2 linked regions of the Sus scrofa genome follow. The protein of the gene in region 2 interacts with the protein of the main gene of each other region in a pairwise test. Links are inferred from orthologs where the notes say so. Each region holds a gene or a part of one and is shown on either strand. Other genes may lie near its edges.

Region 1 (4,273 bases), on a different chromosome or scaffold from region 2:
TTATTTATTTATTTTTTTGTCTTGTTGTTGTTGCTATTTCTTGGGCCGCTCCCGCGGCATATGGAGGTTCCCAGGCTAGGGGTCGAATCGGAGCTGTAGCCACCGGCCTACGCCAGAGCCACAGCAACAAGGGATCCGAGCCGAGTCTGCGACCTACACCACAGCTCACGGCAACGCCGGATCGTTAACCCACTGAGCAAGGGCAGGGACCGAACCCGCAACCTCATGGTTCCTAGTCGGATTCGTTAACCACTGCGCCACGACGGGAACTCCGGCAAGTTTTAAACAATAAGTCAATTCATTTTGAGCTGGTAACTGGCCACTGATCAGCAGTCATCCAGTTTGAGAACTGTAGAAGGTGCTAGTGCCTCCCAGAATTCCCTGTCCAACAAGTAGGCCCTGAAGCTTAGGCGCAACGCAGCCTGCAAAAGTTCACTCCATTGTCTCAGCAGCCTCCTCACCGCCACTATCTGAAAGCTCCTCCCCAGTGGACTCCTCTTCTAGTAAACAGCTTCTTGTAACAGACTTCTGGATAGCTTCCCGCTCTCCTGGAGAAAGAGCATGGATTATTAAAGTCTCTGGAAGTGACCTCTCATTCAGCTGGAGGAGGTCAGTCACTGCTCAGTGGGCACGGGGCTAGCAGGGCTTACCTTCATCAGTGCAGTTCTGCAACAAAATCAACAGCTGTCTCCTATTGTACTGAATGAGGAACTTCTGACATGTTCTAATTGTACCTGACACAAGAAAGAGCTTTGCAGTCAACAGCTCGCAAAAGGTGTTTGCCTCAGAGTCTTGCAGAGCTAGGAAAAATTATCTTGCTCTTGGCAAGGTAGCAGGAGGACCCACCCACTATTGAAGACTGAACTCTGAACCTGTTTCCTATTGAAAATCAGCAGCCATAACACATGCACCCCTACCTCCCACGTGTAAGGTGTTAAAAAAACACGGATAACGGTGTCCTTTGTTCTCCAAGTATGTGATGAAGGGAAGAGCTGACCACACGAGCCGATAGAATTCCTTCCGGCATCGAAGTAGCACTATTCCGGTATAGGCATTGAGGTATCGCACTGCAGCAGGAAAAAAATCATTTTGGGAAAATGGATTCTCAGGAGCACGTTTAAAATCTTAGGGTAGAAGTTCCTGTCATGGCGTAGCGGAAACAAATCTGACTAGGAACCATGAGGTTGCTGGTTCGATCCCTGGCCTTGCTCAGTGGGTTAAGGAACTGGCGTTGCCATGAGCTATGGTGTAGACTGTGGCTGTGGTGTAAGCTGGCAGCTGTAGCTTCGATTCGACCCCTAGCCTGGGAACCTCCACATGCTGTGGGTGCAGCCCTAAAAAAAGCAAAAAAAAAAAAAAATCTTCAGGTAACTGAGAGCCTATGTACCAGAAAACATTCAAGGCGGTGGCACTTGGGATGCCATCAATGAGTAAAAACTGATTTCTGAAGGAAAATAATGGGAGATAAATAACATCTAGGGCCTTTACATACCACTCAGAATTGGTGAATGAATTTAGAATTTAATTTTTTGCTTTTTAGGGCCACACCCATGGCATATGGAAGTTCCAAGGCTAGAGGTTGAATCAGCTAAAGCTGCAGGCCTATGTCACAGCTACAGCAACTCGGGATCGAAGCTGCCTCTGCCACCTACACAGCTCAGGGCAACCTTGAGTCCTTAACCCACTGAGAGAGGCCAGAGGTCTAATATGCATCCTCCTGTATCCTAGTCAGGTTCCTTAACTGCTGAGCCACAAAGGGAACTCCTAAAATGCACTTTTAATTCACAAACTAGTTAACCCAAGGAGGGGGGTGGCAGAAATCCATACTCTTCAGAAGGATGTTTTCCCTTAGCTGAAAAACAAGTTCTGCAACTGGGCTATGTAGGTTCTTCCAGCAACCGAGTCTCACCTTGGTAGAAGGGTTGCCTCTAGGTACATTACCTTCTCCAGATTTCAATTTCAAGCATATGGTAAAAAACGGAATGAATTTACATAGTGTGGTTGTGGAGGAGGGTCCTCTCTTGCATTTACACATACACACAACTGTGTATTCTGTACTTCACAGGCCCCTATGCAGGGCTTTTCAGGGGTAATTCTGACAATGCTTTTTTCATATGATGTCAAAGTAACCCGTCAAATAACTTACTCGGAACTATACAAGTCTTTCCTCATTTAGTTTTCATCATCCTATTAAACTCAATCAAAAACCACACGTCAAATAGTATAGGGGTTTCTGCCGACTGGTATTTTCTGCCCACTGCCTACTGGTATTAGCTCTCCGCTTAAGTTTGGACTCAAGCAGACCTCAGGCTCGGGTTCTGAAACTCCTAAAAAGGACGACACCCTACATAAAATGGTGCACAGGGCTTGGCAGCTTCCAAGGTCGCCCGTGCCCCTTCTTTCTCCCTCCAATGGCCACTGCTCCCTCCAGATCCCGCCATCCTCCTGGTTCCCCAACACCCTCGCACCCGCGAAGCCGATGGAGGAGGCGGCCGCGCCGAAAGTTCCGTGCACGCGCGCGATCGTGTCCCGTACTAGGCCGCCCAGCACTCGGTCCTCCAGATTCAGACGGCAGCGGGGGTCCTCAGACACCACTTCGCAAAGCAGGTACCTGGGGCAGGCGAGAGGGCGGTGAGTGCTGGGCCGGGGCCAGGACCGCAGGGACAGGAATAAGGGTTGCTTACCTGTGCTTGAAGCGCACCATGTTCGTATCCGCCTCGGGCGTCCAGACACTCAAACCGGATGTCTGCCTTCTCGTCGGCGGCCAATGGGAAGTTGGCCTGGCAGCCACTCAGAGAGGGAGGCGGAACTAGAATGTAGGCGGAGCCCCGTGTCAGTCTCCTTTGAGCTCCGCCTCCCTCTGCCGAGCGCAGGCGTCCTGCTCATTTCTTCGCTTAGACTTTCAACTGAACCCGTTGTGATGAGTGGTTGTGCTCCACGCCAGAGTTTGCTGTTTAGGATGCAGCTGAGGCATTTGGAACCTCCAGGACGTTCCATTACCTTGCAACATAGTACCCAAGCTGGACGGTGGAACATTTGAGCACAAGACCTTGCACCCCCCAGGCCAGGGATTGATAGGGGAAATCGGACTCTTATTCTCAGTTTGGAGCTCGGTTTAATTTCTCCATACAGCCAAATATGTTATTACTGTTTAGGCCTTTCAATAACCTTATGGAGTTGGGTGTATTGGCTTGTTTTTTTTTGTTTGTTTTTTTGTTTTTTTGCAAAAACAATCCGTGGTCGTTATATTTTCTGGTTATTTTGGTTTGTTTTTTGTTTTTGTTTTTAAACAGAAAAGCACAAAGAAGCAAATAAAAATAAGTTATAATCCCAGCACCTAGAGAGAATAATTTATCATGTAGTGGATTTTCTTCCAACATTTTACCCCTGTTCCAGTGGTTTTCCAGGTGAAGTCCAGGAACCACTGGATTTTCCCAGATTCTTTTAGGGAGTCCCCCGAGGTCAAATTACTTTTGTAGTAACACTAAGGTGTTACTTGCTGTTTTCACTTTCTGAGTGGACAGTAAAGTTTTCCAGAGGCCAGTGACATGTGCTGACATTGCTCTGATGGCTAAGAGAATTGTGCATGGTGTTTTAAACATTTCTGTTTTAATAAACATAGTGAGTATCAATATATTTCACATAACAAAAGCTCTTTGGGATCCTCAATAATTTAGTAAGAATGGAAAGGGGCCCTGAGACAAAAAAGGTACGAGATGTACCTTCCACTGTATGATAATTTATATTTTCCATTTTCTTTTTAAGAATAGGATCATACTGTTTACTACTCTTCTTTCCCCTCACATTGAATATCTTTTTAAAAACTGAGGCATAACATACATAAAATGCATATTAAGTGCATAACTCAATGAATTTTTATATATGTATAAACTTTTGCAACCACTGCCCAGATTAAGAGATAGAACATTTCCAACACTCAGGAAGGTTCCTGTGCTCTCTTCCGAGCCAAAAACCTTCCCAGAAGTAGCCTATATTCTGACTTCTGTCATGACAGATTAGCTTTTTCTCTTCTGGAACTTTATATAAATGTAAATCTCCAGCAGCATATTTGTGTGTGTGTGCGTGCATGTCTGGCTCCTTTCTTTCAACATAATGTCTGTAAGATTCATTCTTGTCATTTGACTATATTTTCATGCCAGCTGTTCTACAAAGTTATTTTTCAGTTGCCCCAGACTGCATTGTTTGGATGTACCACTGCTGATCTAGTCAATATTTCCATGATGGATATTTAAATTAATTCCAGATTTTCTTG
Region 2 (3,648 bases):
CAAGATCTCAATGTACCAGAATCCAATTACAGAGTCTTCAAAACACTAGTGAAATAAAAGTTAATGAGACATTTTAAAAGGCATTACAATTTTATGATGCTGATTTATTTTGAAAAATGGCAAGGATAAATTTCAGTTTAATATACTGAAATAAATTTCCTATCTTCATTTTGAAATTTCAACAAAAAGAAATATGTTATTAAGTAGTGAAATATGTAAATATAAATATATAATATTTGGTATGCTTCTAATTAAGAGTTTCTCTTTTTTAAAATACTGGTCTTGGTTTACTAGTGGTCTGAGAAATTTGGTCAGTATATTATTATTGTCACTGAATTACAGTAAATGAAAGGAATAATTGCTCCAAGTCAGCACTAGTTCAAATATGATTTGACATAAACTAATGTTAACAAAAATAATTACAACCATGAATCTATATTATTATATTAAGTATTATAATGAGTGAATTGGTTTGACATCCCTACAGAACACTTACTAAAATGTGTTTTTCCACAGCTGAAAGTGGTATACATTTAATATTATATGGTCTTTTTTCAGTCAATAGCAGTTAACTTAGTTGGTATAATGAAACCCCTTCAGTAGATTAAATGGATGGTTCATAAAAAGACAATTTATGATCTGTAACTCTATAAAAGGAAATGGAAAAAAAATGGGAGTAGTTAATATCATGAAGGTAAAATGTTATCTAAGATCATTTACACCAGAAACTCTTTGATAATAAAAATGGGTAATCTTATACAACCACAGAACTTTATTAATTTGTAGATTAACCTGCATGTTTTGAGAATTTATTTTAAAGAAAATGTTCCACTTGCTAATCCTCAATATAGTTATGTTGCTATATTGAATAAAGTGATGGATGTACATACTGATAAGAAAGGTTTGCATTTACCAATTAATTTGTCTTTGCTATTTATATGGAAAGCTGCTTTTAATTCCTTTTTAAAGCTCTGGAATTACTGAGACTCTTTTCAGTGTTGTCTGTGAAGCTACTTTGTTTCTCTAAAACAGTTCATCACTTCTTTAGCAGTACCCCTTAGTGTATCTTGTACACACCAGTGATATGCCTGTCTCATTCACTGGCCTACGAAATCTTTAAGGACACAGATCATGTCTTATTCATAATATTTTATTTTTAGAACTTAAAATACTAACCACAGTAGGAAGTTAATTTATGTGTCAGATGTCATTTTGACAGCAAGTTACAGAAAACTCAACAGTCATAGCTTAAATAAATTTAGGTAATCATTCTCACACAGCAAGGAAACCAGGGGTATGGATTCTATCTTTCAGGCAGCAGCTCCATCATTACACAAAGCTTTTTTCATTCTTCTGTTTCACTATTTTTAATGTTACAGGGTGGCTGTTACATTTACCTTCTTGCAGAATCTTGTCTTTGATCAGGCAGGAGGAGAGCAGAAATAAAAGTGTTTCTCAGTCTGATGATTTCACATTTTTCTGAATGGGAGACTTCTCTAGCAGACTTCCCCTGACCTCTCATCAGTCCGAACCAGGTCACATGCTGCTTTAAACCTATTTATTATCTATTAGGAATGATGAATTAAATGGAGGTTATCCGAAAGGTTTAGACCAATCATAATTTAGCCCCTGGGATTGGAATAGGAGCTTATCCTTCCAAAGATCAATAGATTCTGCCTTCTACCTGAACAAATTGGGCTTTAGTTAGCAGGGGAAAAGGGACCATTGAGAAGTTAATGGACAATATATGTTGCAATAAATATTACCTGAAAAGAACTGGATATGTTGAAATGAATTATTCATGTCCTATGCTATCCCCCGCTGCATCTTTATATATTATTTGTATTTATTTGGCAAATTTAAATAGGAGAAATCTCTGTTTCTTTGAGGGTAATTACAAATGCAGAAATTCCTCTATATTTTTAGCTACAATGGGAAGGGAAATATACAATATTGAAAAAGACACATTGTTTTCATCAACTTCCTTTTTTAAATGTCGGTCTTGCTCTTATAATTGCAGGGGAAATTCGAATGCAATTATGTTCTCTGTCTTTTCTTAGGCCTGAAAAGATAAATATGAATTTAGATTCCATTCGTCGGTTAATTGAGGAAACACAAATCTTCCAGAGGCAGCAGTCATCAGTTAAACCAGCATGTGACCTGGTGGTGCCTGCCTCATCCCCCAGGGACACCTGTGGTCCCTATTTGCCACTTTATGGGCTGCAATCTCATGCCTATCACAACGTCTGTGCTCACTCATGCAACAGTAATGAATGGGATATTTGTGAGGAGCTTCGACTGCGGGAACTGGAGGAGGTCAAGGCCAGAGCTGCTCAGATGGAGAAGACCATGCGGTGGTGGTCAGACTGCACTGCCAACTGGAGAGAAAAGTGGAGTAAAGTTCGAGCTGAAAGGAACAGTGCCAGGGAGGAAGCAAGACAACTCAGGATAAAATTAGAGATGACCATGAAGGAACTGAGTACTCTGAAAAGGAAGCAAAATTTGTCACCTCAAAAGGAGGCTTTGGAAGCTAGAGTTATTCAGGACCTTAAGCTTCCTGGTTTCAGAGATGTGTCCTCTACACAGAGAGACTCAATTCAAATTGGTTCCAAAACCTGTGAGTCCATCAGAGAGTGTTTGGGAAAAAGAGAATTTCCTACCAAGGAGAACACAAAGAGTAAGGTCAGAAAAAATCCAGAGGAATCCAGAGATTTTTTGAATGCTATAGACAGTAATGAGGAGGGAAAGGAAAATAGCAAAACCAGTGGTTACTGTGTTTGTTTGTGTGGGCTGCCAGAACTAACTGCCCACAGACTGGGGGACTTCAGCAACAGAAATTCATTTTCTCAGAGTTCTAGAGGCTAGAAGTCTGAGGTGGGTCAAGGTGTCAGCAGGGCTAGTTTCCTTGGAGGCCTGTCTCCTTGGCTTACAGATAGCTGTCTTCTCCCTGTGTCTCCATATTGTCTTTGTGCATCTTTGTCCAGATTTCTTCTTCTTTTGTGGATGCCATCACTAGGCCCACACTAATTAAGCTCATCTTAACTTAATTACCTCTTAAAGACCCTATCTCCAAACACAGTCACATCCTGAGATATTTGGAGGGGGTTGGGACCTTAACATATGAATTTTAGGGGAGACACAAGTCAGCCTATGTTACTCATACTTTTAGCCAAAATTAACCCAGCATTTTTTAATGTTAAAAGAAAATATTTATGGAGATTTCTCTCCATTTACTCTAGTAAACCATTACTAAGAAATTATCCGTACAGTAGTTTAAACCTTTCCTGAAGGTTGGGACTCTGTCCTCACAATTAATCACTCAAAGATAGGTAACTTAGGCAAATATCTTTAGGGACTGCTTCACACTACCTACTCTTGGAATTTCTTGGTATACTTGAATCTTGAAGTTTCTGAGATTTCTGCACACAATAAAAAATTTTAAAACTTTAATCTAGCAGTTCATACACTTATCTATCAATGAAACACCCCTCCTCCCATATATATATATCTACAACTCATGGAATATACATTTGGAAACTAGGAATTTGTGTTCGCTCTTCAAGTAGAATTAGTTTATATTATTACCTCTTTCTAGTTAATTCTACCTCTACAACCATAAATCAATTAATACCTTGCTCTTCTATAATT

Evidence for each region. The genes of interacting proteins can lie anywhere in the genome.
Region 1: the proteins of CCDC102B (region 2) and POP5 interact in binary tests that used the Homo sapiens proteins (3 or more experiments, as listed by UniProt). The two-hybrid records come from large-scale screens. The link is inferred for Sus scrofa from reciprocal best matches to the Homo sapiens genes CCDC102B and POP5.

Annotation. Positions count from the first base shown.
Region 1 is NC_010456.5:40,523,119-40,527,391, forward strand, and holds the start of POP5 (ribonuclease P/MRP protein subunit POP5), read right to left. Parts: upstream 2,817-4,273; 5' UTR 2,705-2,816; coding exon 2,685-2,704; intron 2,612-2,684; coding exon 2,469-2,611; intron 1,068-2,468; coding exon 918-1,067; intron 735-917; coding exon 651-734; intron 549-650; coding exon 433-548; 3' UTR 1-432. UniProt on the Homo sapiens protein: Component of ribonuclease P, a protein complex that generates mature tRNA molecules by cleaving their 5'-ends. Also a component of the MRP ribonuclease complex, which cleaves pre-rRNA sequences.
Region 2 is NC_010443.5:153,888,073-153,891,720, reverse strand, and holds part of CCDC102B (coiled-coil domain-containing protein 102B), read left to right. Parts: intron 1-2,060; 5' UTR 2,061-2,076; coding exon 2,077-2,682; intron 2,683-3,648. UniProt on the Homo sapiens protein: During interphase, forms fibers at the proximal ends of centrioles to maintain centrosome cohesion. During mitosis, dissociates from the centrosome following phosphorylation to allow centrosome separation. Contributes to CROCC/rootletin filament formation.